2 linked regions of the Caenorhabditis elegans genome follow. The protein of the gene in region 1 purifies or fractionates together with the protein of each later gene. This does not show direct contact. Each region holds a gene or a part of one and is shown on either strand. Other genes may lie near its edges.

Region 1 (6,749 bases):
TGCCCATTGTCGCACAAAAACATTTAATGAATAAAATATGACAGTCAACGACACCTCAATGTGTGTATGTGTCGCACCCACCCAGAGAGTCTCTGAGAATTACTTCTCTTCGCTTTGTGTTTCGAGTTCTTCAAGTTTTTTATCATTGGAAAAAACTGATTAAATTGATCTACCAAGTCTAGAAAAAATTTTTAGACTTTAGACGAAAAAAGGCTTCTTGAAAAAATTTGGTTGTTTGATTTTTCGACAATTTAACAACAAACGAAATTTGTCTATCCTCATAATTTTAAACCTAGAAACTTTCATGACTATTGATATTTAGTCCATGAAAAAACTGCGTATAGAAAAATCGATGAATAATTTCTGTAAGTCGTCCAAGTTCCTACAAAAATGGATGGGTACCGAACAATGTTCCATTTTCATTTTTAGATATATTTTCAGTTTTTTGTTACGATCTCGACAGTTCGCAATAAAATTACCCGCGCATTTTCAATGAACATATGTACGTTTTGAAATATTTTAAAATTGGAAAAAGTCAAGTAATTAAGTCCCATTGGGCAAAGTTCAAAAACTATTCAAAATTTTAACAATATCATATAGTAACTCAAAGGCTATGTTTGACTTTTGAATAACTGTATTATAAGTGATAAATTCTAACATGAATCAAGTGATTTCATTTGATTCGCATTAGGGGTTTCCTTCCGGACACATTGCCACCGCTTTAAGTCTTTTTGCCGTTTTTTTTCCATTTCTTTCTATGTCTCTTTCTCTCCCCTACCACCTCTGAAAACCACCAACACAACAAAAAACAACAAAAATCTGCGTGAATATAATCGGTTGCACCATAGCGGTGCTCTAGTGATCCCCCAAGGAGTGCCTATTGTCCATTCGGCAACTTTTTCTCGTCCCTTCCGTTTTGCGCCCGTAGTAGCAGTAGAAGCAGGAGAAGCTCTCTTAGATTGACGTCGAACATGATGAGGTCCATTGGTCTTTCACTACACACATTCCTTCCTGTCATTCACATCACTAAATGGTGGAGGCGGTGGAGGAAAAGTGCACACCCGAGATTTTGCAGACAACATCACTTTTATTTCCGCTTTATGCTCTTCTTGAACTCTAAGACTTTCATAAAATTAGATAGATATTACTGTATTTTGCCAAACTTAGCCCTGACTAGAAATTCCATTCCGTTCGGGCGTGACGGTGCCGCTGCCCTCCTCTGAAATTGCCCGGACGGTGCTCAAAAGTTATTTTAACCTTAAAACTCGACAGAACTCAGATATTAGCTTGAACTCATCAGTATTTAAGGTACTTATTATTTCCATTTTATTAAAGACCAGTTTTCAAGGTGTCAAGGTTTCCCATTTTTTTCAAGTGTTGCTAAAGTTTGCCCAGATTGAACCTAATTTTACAGTACAAAATGACTTCGATTATCCAATACAATGCAGCTTTCTATGCAGCTTTCTATAAAATAGATTTTGTACTCAATTACGCTTGAGCTTGATCTTGAGAGAATCTAGATTGTGGCAAGATGAATTTGAGTTGAAATTTTCCGAACCTTTTACAGAATCCGGCTGATGTTCAAGAACTAACTCACAAATTGGTTTGTCTAATTTTTCTCAAAAAAAAAATCTCATTTTGATCTCTAAAAACATATTTTGATGTATCAAAACCCCCTTAATCTGTTGACTCATTGTGAACATTACCTGTTCACTGAAAACTAATTAAACTATAATTTAACACCTGCTCTACAGAAAGTTCTCCCCCTTTTCTCAAAATAAACTATCAAAGTTTTCCAACTCCAACCTCTTGGTGTGAATTCATTCATTACATGGGGGTCATCTAGAAGAGTAATAGTAATAGAAGTAAAATTGTTTCATTTTGCTCCCCTTATTCCTCGATTAGTCTTGTCCCGCCATTTGCATGTTTTTGCTCTGCGTCTCTTCTTCTTCTATACACTCTCTATTTTCTTGCAGAGTTGTTCAAAGTTTAAGCTTTGAGAGAAGCGAATGTGGCAGGGGTGATTTTAACGGGACTTGAAACAAAGCGCTTACAAAAATGTCTTAGAATTCACATATTCAAAAAATTTTTTGTTTGCATTTTTAGAACTTCGAATTTGAACTTTGATTTATATGGTGCTAAAATAACTAATATCGTAGTATTACTTTTCTTAATTCAAAAAAAAAAAACCAAAAAAAATTGTGTTAAAATATGACATTTTGGCCATGAACTATGATAAGGAATTAAATTGAAAAAATCCCAATTCAACTAGGCTTCTCCAACTTGCTATATATTGTCTGAATTTTTAAAATCTAAAAATATACATGAAAATGGTTGTGAAAAGGTTATGCAAAATGATAAAAGTCTGAGCTATTTCCGAATAAAGAAAAAATTTTTGTAAACCCCTCTATTTCATAATTGTGTTCCCTTGATTTCTCAATTAGATTTATCATCTCCTTTCTCCAAATCTCTCGCCCCCGCGCCAAGCCCCCAGCTCCTTCCAAATGACCCCCTCACCTGCCCTTGCGCAATGGTCATTAATAAAAGCAACATTTTCCATTTCCCAAATAAATCCCTGGGACCCCTTCTTCTCCACACCACTTTTTTCTTTTCTCTCTCTTCCTCTTGTTCTTCAACCCATTTGCGCGGCTTTCCAGGTCGCTTGGAAAATTTTTGTGGTGGCTTTTTAATCGGCCTTTCATATCTTTTTGTTTCATGCTCTTGTGCTTCCTGAACTTTGATTATGTAGTTGATGTCACTTCTGCTCTTTTCTTTCTGTTCCCTTAACAATTTTCATTTAAAATTTCAGATCCTCACCTCTAAATCCTCATACCCAACAAAGTCTTCTGTGATCAGAAAGCAGCGCGAATAAAAATTAAAAATTAAATAAAATTAATTTAATTCAAGAAAAAACTTTAAAAAATTTTCCAACAAAAATGGGTGTATCTCTCTAATCAGAAAAACATCATGATCCAATTCAGAAACAAGAACAACAGTATGAATCGGATAGCGCGTCACTTACGAAATGTGGCACGCCGAAAAGGCTCGTCGCTGCTTCTGTTTCTAATGCTAAGTACCGTACTGGTCGCGGCAAAAGAGGACGGTAAGTTGGGGGAAGAGGATGAGGATTTCGGGTGGAATGATGAAGAGCCACCTGATAATCAGGATGTGCAGGACGGGGGAATTCCGTTGGTTCGGAAGGAAGAGTTTACAAATAATCAGCTTTATGCTGAAGCTTATCAGAGTTATATTCAAGCTCTTGCGTGTAAGTTATAGTGCAGGTTTGGTTGAAAAATAATGGTTTTTCGAGAAAACAGAAAAACCTTTGGAATTTTTTTTCAGAAAAAAATTGGAAAACATTTTTTATTAAAAAAATGTTTCAAAAAGCTTTACTACCCCTAGACACTTGTAAAATCAGGAAAAAATCAGGAAAATAATTCAGATTCATTTTTTTTGCAACCACATAGGCCCGGATAAAGCTGTAATACTCCCTAAGATTCCAGCTCAGTTTCAAATTTAAGCGCAGTTTTATGCGGAGGATTCAATTCTAAGTTGTATTGTTGGCAAGAATTCAAGTGAACTATATTTACAGTTTCTATTTTTATAATCTTCAGACCCCGCCCGACTAGTCGTCCGTCCAGACTCATCAACCGTCGTCGATGAATCGAAAATCTCATTTTTCTGTCGAGCAGATGGAAATCCGTTGCCTAGTGTGATTTGGAGAGTCAATGGAAAATCCATAACAGATCATAATCGGTATTAAGGCTTCATTGAAATATATAACTGTTACAAATTTTCCAGAATATCAATAAAATCCTTGGCCACCGGCTTATCGACTCTCCGTTTCGAACGTGTCTCTCTGGATGACAATGCGACTGTTGTGTCCTGCTCGGCTGATAATGGAGTTGCCAATCCAGTTGTCGCAGAAGCATCACTAACCGTTGTCCCACGAGACAAAGTTCCGATTGGGTTCCCTCAAATTGAACTTCATCCATCATTGAAGTCGGTCGAACAGGGGAAAACTGCTTATGTCTCTTGTCGGGTAAGTTTTTTGAAATTTTAAAATAGTTGCGTTTAAGATGGGAAATTCGTTGTATGTATTATGAAAAGATTTTAAAATTTTATCAACAAATAATAATGCTAAAAACTTTTAAAAATATGATATTTCGGAAATAAAAATGAACTTGAAGAAATTAACAATTGAAAGAAGAACAATTCAATATGGAGTTAAAATGGGATTAAAATAGCAAAAATAGCACAAATACCAAAAGTTACCAACACCAAAATATCATAGCACATCTGGAATTACCCTATATACCTGAAACCAAATACTAAAAACTATGTCGGCTGTTTTCAAATTAAAAAAAACAAATAAAAAAATATTTTTTTAAAAAACTTTAAAAATGTTAACGATTCCAAAATCAAATTCAAAAAAATTCTTTCAGGTCCGAGGAGATCCTCGAGCAAAAGTCCTTTGGCTCCGTGACCTGATCCCGCTAGACATTCGTGCAGATGGTAGATACTCTGTAAGTACAATCGGAAACCCTGGAGCCCTGATGATTCAGCATGCTCGAGAAGAAGATCAGGGAAAATACGAATGCATTGCAAGGAATACATTAGGAGTTGCTCACTCGAAAGCCGCAAATCTTTATGTTAAAGGTTAGTTTGGGATGGGGATTTTTTGAGGGAGGGATGTTTTAAAAATTTTTTATATAATTTTAAACCAGAAATTACGGTGCCAAAAAATGTCTGAAAATATATGCTCACACACAATCAAAATTTTTTCAGTTAATGCATTTTAAAAGTTTAAGTTGTTTTAGAAATACATAATGATCCAAATTCAATTGTTGAAAAACTGGAATGCCTAACTTGTTCAGTTATTCATTGAAATTTCGCACTTCGAGAGGGGTCAACTCATCCTAACTAAATTTAAAATAGGCGCCCCAGCCAAAAACTGTTCAAATTTGCATTAAAATAGGTTGTCCATTCCTCCTCCTCTTCTTGTTGCGATCACATTTGCATTTGTTTGAGCATGTGGCTTGATATCTGCGCCTCTTGGTCACTTTTATTCGGTCACTTGTTCTCTTCGTGATTTTCATTTTTATGACATAGAGTGGGAAGGGCGAAACAGAGAGAAATTGATGAGAATAGGTGTGATTCACTGATTTATGTTTGATTCGGTGAGCGAATTTTATTCTAGATTTTAGGCCTGCTAGTTGAAGTATTTTTAATATAACTTTTCATAGTTTCTATTTTTCCCTGATGAGCATTTATATCGGTGGTGCTCATTTGAGCGGAATGCTTTTGTTTCAGCATGACCTTATTTTTTTAAAGCTTTGAGCTTTAGAATAGGTGATTTTTTCTAAAACATTGCTTCTGATCTATTTTTGGAAATATAACCGTTTTCTGACTCAATAATACATAGTGAGGTAGATTTTCAAATCGAGTTAAATTTTTAAAGTTCCAGAGACTTTTTTTTGTAAGATACAGCTCTAAAATTTCAAATTCCAGCCATTTCAACCAAATTTTTAAATTCGAAAAATTATTCTATACATTTTGAAACACTTTTGTTTGAGTCTACAACACTGCCAACACTCTGAAATAGTTTGAGCTTCTAAGCATTTTTAGTCAAAATTTTGGAAAAGTGCCAACCTTTCAAAACAAAAGTGTAAATTTTGGAAAATTTTGCGTTGAAATTTTTCTTTGACAGATTGCTACACCTTTAAATAAAAAAATCTCTTCATAGTTTTTTACCCTCCAAGCTCCTCTCTAGATCTGGCAATCATAAAATAAATTCCAAATGTCAATAAAATCGTCCAAAAACCGCCATCCGGATATCTATCGAGCATTTAGCTTCCATCTTTCTGTGCTCAAACTGTGAGCCATCACTAGTAATTGGAGGTCATCTGGAAGATGTCGGTCGTCATCTAGGCGCCTTCCCGACATGTGTGCTTTATGTGTGCAGGCATACGACGACACCCGATGACCAGCAATTTCTCATTTTTATGACACCCGGCCACAAATTTCGATGATTCTTCTTCCCCGGTGTTGTCGTCTTTTGTGTTGAGAGATGTCTTGTCTTTTGATCATTATCATTACTTGGACTTTCTCTATCATTTCTAGATTTCTATGGCTCACATCTAGATTGTTCGTGAGATGAGAAATTTTCAAAATGTTCTCCAGAATTTACCATAATTCCTCTGACAGCCTTACACTTCTGAAAGTTAAAAGTTGCAAGTTAATATTATTGTCCATTTTTCCTTCATCCATTTTTTAAGTTCTAAAATCTCCGAAATAAAAAAATCAAGTGTTAAAGTTTTGAAAAAATACCCCAATTTTCTCAAAGGTCACAAAACTATGCCTGAACTTATAGCCGACAGTAAAAACATTTTGAATCGATTTTAAAATTACTTTAAAAATTTTCAATTTGTTAAAGACTTTTCAAAAATTAATTTTTATTTTTTGGAGCCTGTAGTAATGAGGTACAGTAACCAAATTTTCAGAACAGAGATTTCTAGATTAATTTTATGGAACAACCTTATTGAAAAAACTATTAAACTGTATATATCCCTTTTTGTTGCATAAATAATATAATCCCTTAATTGTACTATATTAAATTAAAAATCTTCCCAAACCACCTAATTTCCGGTAGATTTCCTCTTGCTTCTCCTAATCAGTAAACTGTTGTAAATCTCGACGCTTCTCCATCTTTTCACAACAACAATTAAATTAAAAGTGCGCGAAATGTT
Region 2 (9,741 bases), 3.4 Mb from region 1:
GCAGCTGTCTCTATACTAGTTCCCTGTTCCATTCTCTGTTATATCCAGCTATTTGCATATATATACGGTCCTCTTCTCATTGTCCCCATCTTTTTCCGAGTTATTCAGTAGTGCTCTTTATGTGCTCACACACACTCATAACCAATTATCCTATTGTTCCCCCGGTTTTGAGCGGAAATTTACGGGTGTCATCATCATCATTATAGTAGGATATATTATTTTAGTGTTTTTTTTTAGTCTTTGAAATTTTTGAAACCCAGTCAAATTTCCTAACTTTGAAATATACGTGTTTACCATAGCGAATTTGCATAATTCATTCTGACCACACATGATATTTATGGCATATACACATGTATACATTCATGAAAGTATTACACCACTTGATTGCCCAATAGAAAGTGTTAATCTAATCATAAAAACTTTATACTTTATAGGTACGAGATAGCTGGCAACAATAATTTTTCAATCTCATCGAATTAGAATTGTAATGTCCTAACAAAGCAAACTTGTAAGGCAAAATCTGGTTTGATTACAAAAATAGTGCTGAATCTGCCAATTTCACTATGCAGAAATAAAGTTTTTTGAAAAGTTACAGTCAGAAAATAGCAGTTACTCAGTTTGCAATAAGGCTGTGCGGCTGGTAGAAAAATTACAAAGAATCGAAAGTTACCGAAAGACAAAACTAATTTTTAAAAAATTTAAACAACGCTACTAGGTTCCAGACACGATGTTTATAAGGGAACTCCGGCAATTGAGCAAAACCTTCCTATGTACATGTGTTCTTAGTTCTTCTTGAAACTCTCATGTTAATAGGTTCACAACCTACTTAACCCCTAGAACACGCTCTGTTTGTTTTTGACACCGTCTTCCGTTGTCTCTTGCGCTCCGCCGTCATCACCTGCCACGCAGCTCATTAACTCATTAACTCATAAGCTTGTGCCTTGTCTTGGCTTAGCTGTATATATATACGCTTCCTTAGTCTATATAGAACACCTACTAATGATCCTAATGTGCATGCATTTTTATTTTTGTACCAGTCGGCAGTTTTTCAAGATATAATCCAAATTATTTCAATTATTTGAATTTTTGTGAAATTTTAGTCTAGACCCATATGGCCCAAAACTGCCAAATGTTGTGTAAAGGCGTTCTGAAATATTAGCACTAAAGGAGTTTTTTTTTAAATGAAATCCCACTGCCCCACAAATAACCATCACTATTTCAATAATCAATACTATAAACTTTACACACTCTGTTCCGGAGTCCTCACCATGTGATCGATTAGAATCAAACTCATTAATCATTTTCTTTGACATAATTCGCGGGTTGCTCTCTACCCGACTTTTCGCAAATACAAACTGAACATCTGTCTGCCGAGTTAGTGATCATTAATGAATATTTATCTAGTTTCAGATTTTTTCGTATGTACATACATATTTCTATTTCATTTTCCCCCAACCCGGCTTACCCAGTCCCTCCGGATCCTCCTGACACATTTCCCCTTGTCCGTCCATCTATTTTCATTGTCCATCCCATTTTTTGCTCTTTTTTGCTTGTGCTCTTTTTCATATCTTCTTTTGCTTCTCAGTTTCATGTTCCATTTTTGGTTTGGACCCTATAGGACCGAAAACTCATTTGGGGATTACATTTATGTCATTTTTACTCATTTCCCCTCATTTTACGTTTCCGTTTCTTTTTAAAATATTACATGTTTCTCTACGGACCTCCAAAAGGCTACGGCTTCTATTCAAAAAATATAACTGCCTGCCTGCCTACAAGGTGATCTATGCCTTATACAACTAGAACTACAAAAATTTTGGTCACTACTAGTTAATTCTGAATTTGGTTCAAACAATCTATAAAATGAGAAATTTATAAATTGTATTTACTAATCCAAATGTACTTCTTCAAAACGTAACAAACAAATGACCATTTTGTAAATGTCTGCACAAAAAATGTCTAACCGATTCGCTTCATCGACGACCATCGGTTCACTTTTTTTCGTTTGATTGATCATGATGGAAATGGTCAGTCAAGTATTGTATTGCATTACAATTAAACATTGAATTCGTTCACGTTTCAAGTGATTTATAGGTTATGTGGTTATTGAAGAATGGGGAGACATTGGACACAGGTATTTCCTTATGTTGGAAAAATTTATTACATTTTTTTTTGGAATGAATTAACCTAGTTTTTGCATTTTTGGTTTTTCATGAAAATTTTTAATCAAAATACTATTGAGGTTAGTAAATTCTTTTTTGGTGTCACGTTTTATTACTTCGATGAGTTGGTAGAAGTTAGGAGTTAATCGCCTTTTAGTCAAACATGCAGGCATATTAGTACCTTTATTTTCAAATTTCTGAATTGGCTAAACTTCTTTTAAATTTCTCTATTACTTTTTTTCTGAAATGATCATAAATCTTCTTATTTTCAGAAATGCGATTATGCTCCCCGAATCGGTGTTTCTTCTCCTAATCAGCCATTTTCTGCGGGCGGTAACCCAGCCGCCCTTTGAAACAGAAGGCGTGAAACAAAAATTATTTCATTTTTCTGGACACATTGACGACTTTATTGTCTCGAGGGACCAACAAACGGTAGGACATCTCACAATTTCGAGAATTTTGAGAAAACTATCATTTTTGAAAGCTAGGCACGCCCTCATTTCTGCCTGCCTAATAAGCCTAAGCAGAAGCCTATAGTTGGTACCTGAGTAATTTTAATCTTTCAGATCTACGTGGCATCTCTCAACCGACTAACATCTTTATCAATTTCTAATTTTTCAATACAACATGAGGTTTCACTCGGTCCGGTTCAAGATTCTCCTTGGTGCTCTGCAGATGGAAAATCTTGCTTAAAGCTAGTTAATCAACATCACGTCTTTATCCAAATTATTATTTTCAGAGACAATCGCCCCTTCCCAACAGATGTTCGCACAAAAATCCTACAAATCCTTCCCACAAATCAAATTCTTCAGTGTGGTTCTGTAAAGCTCGGGTCATGCTCCACGTTCAATTCGAAGTTATCTCTCATCACTGAATCCACTATCGCAGTTGCCGCGAATTCTCCAGACGCGTCCACAGTATCGAAAATCATCGATAATCGTTTAATTGTTGCGGCAAGTGCAACGAAAGAATCTCCGTATCGAGACCCGTTTCCAGCGGTTGCAATTCGAAACTTGCCCGGTCTGAATGTTGAGAATGCCGGTGATCTGGAAGGAGAAGCTGCAGTTTTCCTGAGAGCAGCTTACAAGAATGCATTCAAGTTTTTGTACACCTTTACGCATCAACATTTTGTGTTTGTGGTCGCCATGGTCACACCAAGAGAGTCAAGATTACCTATGACAACCAGGTTGATACGATTCTGCCGAAATGACACAAAGTAGGTGTTTAGGCCAAAAATTAGCAAAAGTTATATCCCTATTTTCAGATTTGAATCCTACTCTGAAATCGAACTTCAATGCCGCGGAGAGGACAATACCAACTATCCATTTCTGAACGCAATCATTCAATCCTACGACAAGCTGATCGCATCGTTCTCAACATCATCCACATCTCCAAAAAGTTCCATTTGTGTATTTTCGATGCAAAAAGTGAAGCTGACTTTTTGGTACAATGTGGATAGGTGTAGAAGTGGTACTGATTCGATTAGACTACCTCATATCGGGAGAGATACAAAATGTGTTAATGCAAGTTTTAGGTTTTTCAATGAAGAAATTATTTCGCTTTTCAGAAAGCCCACATACCCCTCGACGAAGATAGCTGTGAGCTCGGTGTTGGTGGATCAATTGAACTTGTTGAGATGTCCACAAAAGACATTATGGGAAAGGTGACGTCATTGATGGCTGTAGATCAAAAAGCAATTTTCGCGGGAACAACAACTTCGCAGATTGTGATGGTAAATTTTACTAAAAAAGCTAGCTAGATTCACACGACTAACTGCTTGTGATCCATCATTGTCGCTGACCCTAAACAGCATTTCGAATGACACTTTAATCTTCAAAAATGTATATGAAAACAAATGTCAATCAAATGCATATCACAAAGGGATTATTTCTTGAAATCATAGGACTGATCTTTAAAAAAACTATTACAAACAATTTTAGTTTAAATGGGACGAGCACCATTCAAACCAGTTGGAAGAGTACGGTAGAAAGGAAGTTGGAGATGGGCGAACTGGGAGCGAGGTCAGCAAAATGGTCAAATTTGGGGATTTTGTCATTGTGCAGATGCCATATGGAGTAAGTTTATTTTGAAAAAAGGGTTTCATGTAGAACAAATTTTGGTTTTTTAGATCATATTAGAAGAGCTTTCCACTTGCTCTCATCACAGCTCATGCACAGAATGCTTAGTCTCTGTAGACCCACTCTGCCAATGGTGTCATCCGACGCAATCGTGTACGACTTCAGCAAGGTGTACTAGTCCAGTTGTAAGCAAGTTTATCTTTGTTCTATTTTGGCATACACGTTTCAGACTTCTCAGTGTCCAATTGTCGATGGTGATCCGATTCCTTCAATAGTCTCCGTGAACTCCTCTACCCCTATATCCTTCAACATTCACCATCTTCCACCTCCAGTCGGTTTCACTTATAGATGCCAATTCGGAACATCAACATCATCTATCAAAGCTAACTGGACAACGACCGGAGTTTCATGCCCATCGGAAATTTTTACATCACCAAACACTTTTGAAATTTTGTTGCTAACATCAATTTCCAATAATCCAATCAGCCGTCACAACTTCACAGTTTACGATTGCTCGGGTTACGGTACATGCTCGTCCTGTATGAGCTCTGAGTACAATTGTGCCTGGTGCTCTGGATTGCACAAATGTTCGAATTCCTGTGGGGCATTGGAAAAATCAAAAGCCTGCGTGAAAATTCAACCAATGAGGCTCCCAATTGCTATCGGTTCTCAACAAGAAATCGTGCTCGAGGCGTCTAACCTGGATACTCTTGATCGAAGGCACGAACATTTTTGTAAAGTAAACGAGCAAGTGTCTCTTGCAAAGATTGCAAGCGATAGTATCCGTTGTGGCAAGATTCAGTTGACTTTGAGCAACACTACGAGTGCAAACATGGTGGTTCCGTTGAGCCTGATCACAAGGGACTCTGTAATTGATATTGCTAATGGTAAGTACCAGAGATTTGTGAATTCAGTTTACAATACATACTTTAATTGAACTGCTTTTCAGTGTCCCTTTACTCTTGCACCAACCTGGCATCTGACTGTTCCAGTTGTCTTGCTCTTTCCCCTTCACTATCATGTGGATGGTGTAATCGACAGTGCTCCCACGAGTGCCACGAGTCAAAGGCCACTGCTGTGTGTGATCCACCAAGAATCGATAAAGTAAAAATGATATGAATACGTATATATCTTGTATTTAAAAATGTTTCAGTTCGAACCAACAAGTGGGCCCATCGAAGGAGGCACAATCATCAAAATCTATGGGAATGACCTGGGCATGTCTGTAGAAGACGTTCGTGGAAAGATCTATGTCGCCGGTTCTAGATGTAATATTGTGGAGTATCATGTTTCTAACATGATTGCATGTCAAGTCGACAAAGGTGTCAGCTCGGGCCCAATCAGGATATCAGTTGGTCGGGCAACAGTTGCAGTAGCAGAATCATCGGAACTATATTCGTTTGTAAGAACATCAATATTCTCCGCTTACCCCCTGTATGGCCCAATATCTGGCGGAACTCGAATAACTCTGTACGGTCAGAACTTATCAAGTGGATCTCAAACCTCTGTGACAGTTGGTGGCATGCCGTGTCCTATTGAAAGGGTAAATTCTTCAACAGTTTTGACTTGTCTAACACCTTCTGGAACTCGAATTGGAAAATCTGCTAGAGTAGTTGTTCATGTGGATCACTCCCAGACTCAACTCGATCAACCATTTGAATATCGATCGGACCCGTCTATTAGCTCAATCTTCCCGATGACTTCTTTCAAAGCCGGCGGAAGAATTGTTTATGTTCAAGGCAACTCATTGAACACTGTTCAAACAGCAAAGCTATTCCTCATATCATCTCCAACACCTCCGTTTTATATAATATCTGATCTGGCTCCATGTCACATCATTAACTCTACATTAATGACTTGTATGACTCCAAAAATTTTGGAAACAATCACTAGAAGAGTTGAGTATACACGGCAACCTGTGGGTTTTCACATGGACAATGTCACAGCTGTAGCAAATTTGGGAAGACGAATTCAGATGGGCATCTATCCGAATCCGACGCTTTCTCCGTTCAAAGGAGTACGATATCATCAGGGAGAACAATCACTCATTCTTGAAGGACACAATCTAAATCTTGCTGCGGAGCCAAATGATTTCAAGATCTTCATTGGAAATGAGAGATGCTACGTGACACTTGTAGATGTTAGGCAATTGGTGTGCTCGGGACCGGTGAGGCAACCAAAAGCTACCGATGAAAGAGGAATTCCAATTAATGGGGATAACCCGCTGGTTACTGTAATAGTTGGATCACTTAGAATGGAGCTTGGGTTGATTGAGTATTCCGATCATGCACTCCCGTCCAGACTATCACTTTTGATTCTTGGGCTACTTCTGTTCATTGTTGTCACGTTGACTGTGATGTGCTTGGTTTTCAAGCGGAGGCGTCAAGAACGAGAGAAAGAATACCGAAAGATTCAGCTTCAAATGGAAAATCTTGAAAACAATGTTCGTAAAGAATGCAAGCAAGCATTCGCTGAACTTCAAACAAACCTAGTACTATCTCCAAAGTCTGCAAATTCTGTGAACCTTGGACCGGAACTCATCAACTTCCCGCATTTTGTGGAGAACCTGCTCTGGTCTGATAACAACCTTACATCTGCGCCGAGTTTGGCAAGGACTCTCCCAGTGACTCTTGCTCAATTTCATGCACTTCTGAGCTTCAAAGGCTTTATTTTCACTATCGTAGAAGCTGCAGAATCGGATGTCTCCATATCAACATCAGAGAAGTCAATGTTAGCAAGCCTCCTGATATCTGTGTTACTTCGAAACTTCTCTTATTGCACTGAAGTTGTTGTGGACCTTCTACGTGCCCATATCGCAAGATCGGTTCAAAATAAGCGCGCCGAGTTACTGTTTCGGAATAGTGACTCGGTGGTGGAGAAAATGTTCTCAAAGTGGATGAGCATTTGTTTGTACTCCCATTTGACTCCGCAAATGAACTCGTACTTCTATCTATATAAGGCGCTACAATATCAAACTGACAAAGGACCCGTGGACGCGGTGACCGGTGATGCGAGATATACGATTAACGAGGCCAAATTGTTAAGGGAGAGTGTGGACACAAAGACTTTGGTGAGCTTTTTTTCAAATTTTCAAATGTTCAAGGTTTTATAAAAAGTTTCACAAGTGTTTAAACTCATAGAGGTTAAAGATGATTTTTAACTTTACAATGTATCTTTTACTACGGTGATTTTTTTTACTACGCTTTGTATCTTATTATTGTATCTTACTAGATGTTTTTTACTACGAGTTCAAAACTCATTTTTATAATTTATTCCAAGTATAATTACCCAAATATAGTGAATACAAATGTCGCACTTGTAGTTTGTAGTCAAGTAGTTCTAGTAAATTTGAGTATACCCGGGTTAGTAAAATAACAACGTAGTATATAAGATGAAATAGTGAGAAAATATTTTCCTATTATTTCAAAGTTTACTAGACTACGAGAGAATCAACGGTTATTATGAACGGCTACTAAATTTTATTATCGGAAGAAACGAATTTTGGTAGAAATTCCACAAAATTGTGAATTGATGTAACAAATTTACATAGTTATTTAACCTGGATTAATCAGAAAATATATAATTCATTTTAACAACATACCTTTGTTTCAGTTTTGAAACGTTTACAGTTGATCCCACAGGAAAAGGGAAAGCAAGTCTAATTGATATGCTATTTTTGGTTAATTTTCAGAAAATTCGTGTGATTCCATTTGAAAAATGCGATGAATCAATAGATCTTGAAGTTCATGCATGCGACGCAATTTGTCAAGTCAAACAAAAAGTTGCTTCAGCTGTCTATCGTGAAACACCATATTCACAGCGACCGAGAATAACGCAGTTCGAATTGAGTGGGTCATAAATAATCCCATATGTGTCTTCAATCAGTTTTTTTTCAGAATATAAATGTCCCAAACGGGGAGATGTGAAACTGACCGATGTTTTGCCAATTGAGACGTTATCGCAGAAAAAGCTACCAGTAAAGTTGTTCACTTTGGCAGATTACGGTATCAGTGATGGCTGTACGCTGGAAATGTCTCCAGCGGTTTATACAGCGGAAAGCTATAGAAGTGAGTTAATTGAAGAAACAAAATTTGAATATAACCCTTAAAATTTCAGATTCTCTCGCAGATTCTGGACAATCTTCCTGGTCATCGTTAGATCGATGCTCTCCAATTTATTCATCTTCAAAATACTATCACCTAACAAATCCGTCATCTGGAACTATGACTTTCAAGAAGAAATCTTCAAACGACAGCAATTTGCTACCCAAATCTATTCCAGAAGTGTACCTAACAAGGTTGCTCACTTCAAAGGGAACAGTAGAAACTTATGTGGAAGACTTCCTAGAATCCGTACTATACATGCACGATTCAAGCTACCCGCCAATTTTAAAATTCTTCTTTGACATTTTGGATCGTGAAGCTTCAGTGAACGGAGTTTCTGAAAATATTTGTCAGCAATGGAAGGCTAATGGCTACGTTCTCAGAGTTTGGGCCAATTTTGTTAGAAATCCGCAGTTGGTGTTCGATGTTCCTCATTCTATTTCCATGGATGCAAACTTGAGTACAGTAGCGCAAACTATGGTGAGCGAATCACTTTTCTGTTATATTATTTTCTGACAAATAAATTCAGATGGATTGCTTCTCATTCTCTGAACCTGTTCTCGGAGCCCATTCACCGTCATCTCGACTTCTTTTTGCAAAAGACGTGGCGAGGCTCCGGCCCCTTTCAGTGGACTTATTCAAGCGAGTCAAAAATAGTCCTCCACTAGGAATGGATGAGTTGAGAACGGAGTTGGTGAACATGGCCAATGTGAGCAATTTTATGCTTAACATAATATATTAGTAAATTTTCCAGGATGTGTCCACGTGCAAAGGATCTTCCCTAGCGCTCTCCGAACTTCTGTCCTGGGTTCGAGGAAACGGAATTCGCATTTCCCAACTGTTATCCTCAAATGAGCAGTTCAGCCAACAACGTTTGCCTCAAAAACTCTCACAAGTTCTCCATGTTTGCTTGGAGACTGACAATCATATTTATTCGACAATTTCTGATTATGAATAAGCGATTACTTCAGAAAATTCTATCTCGATTCTTATACGGTTCCCCCATTTGTTTTCCCGTCAGGTATTTCTTGTCTTTCCACTATCATTATTTGATTTTTTGAATTTTGCGACTTGTGAATGAAACTTGTTGGTTCAAAATACCAGGTATTCACTGAACATCAAACAATATCCTTGTTAGGTACTTCCATCTAGGCGGTAAAACTGCCTGCCTGATCTTAAGGCGACCTCCTGCCTCTTGCCTCAATCCGCGCCTTATGCAAAGATATACGTGAACTTTTTTTTCAATTTATTAATTCGATTTTCATCAAATTAATAAATGAGAAAAGTAGAAAATTGTAAATTAACGTAAGGCCGGCGTGAGGCGGGTAAGTTTCAAGCATGTGTCCGGCCCTGACACCGCACCGGCCTACCATGGAGGGCCTACATTGTTCATTAAGGCCA

What was found.
Region 2: the proteins of ptp-3 (region 1) and plx-2 purify together in Caenorhabditis elegans (affinity purification with western blotting, with the first as the bait; one study listed by BioGRID). This does not show direct contact.

What each region holds. Positions count from the first base shown.
Region 1 is NC_003280.10:10,972,572-10,979,320, forward strand, and holds the start of ptp-3 (protein-tyrosine-phosphatase), read left to right. Parts: upstream 1-2,997; coding exon 2,998-3,265; intron 3,266-3,614; coding exon 3,615-3,756; intron 3,757-3,801; coding exon 3,802-4,042; intron 4,043-4,445; coding exon 4,446-4,659; intron 4,660-4,806; exon of another isoform or gene 4,807-4,956; intron 4,957-5,886; exon of another isoform or gene 5,887-6,095; intron 6,096-6,749. UniProt on the Caenorhabditis elegans protein: Has a role in early neural and epidermal development; neuroblast movements during closure of the gastrulation cleft and epidermal morphogenesis. Vab-1 and ptp-3 may function redundantly within the same sets of neuronal precursors.
Region 2 is NC_003280.10:14,417,582-14,427,322, reverse strand, and holds plx-2 (Plexin-2), read left to right. Parts: upstream 1-2,431; 5' UTR 2,432-2,441; coding exon 2,442-2,591; intron 2,592-2,725; coding exon 2,726-2,853; intron 2,854-2,898; coding exon 2,899-3,375; intron 3,376-3,423; coding exon 3,424-3,682; intron 3,683-3,726; coding exon 3,727-3,891; intron 3,892-4,099; coding exon 4,100-4,234; intron 4,235-4,287; coding exon 4,288-4,422; intron 4,423-4,466; coding exon 4,467-5,124; intron 5,125-5,186; coding exon 5,187-5,341; intron 5,342-5,390; coding exon 5,391-7,307; intron 7,308-7,928; coding exon 7,929-8,085; intron 8,086-8,133; coding exon 8,134-8,304; intron 8,305-8,353; coding exon 8,354-8,820; intron 8,821-8,869; coding exon 8,870-9,049; intron 9,050-9,094; coding exon 9,095-9,298; 3' UTR 9,299-9,468; downstream 9,469-9,741. UniProt on the Caenorhabditis elegans protein: Involved as a receptor for mab-20/sema-2a in the formation or stabilization of cell-cell contacts at several stages of epithelial morphogenesis. In early embryonic development, required for proper ventral closure of the epidermis.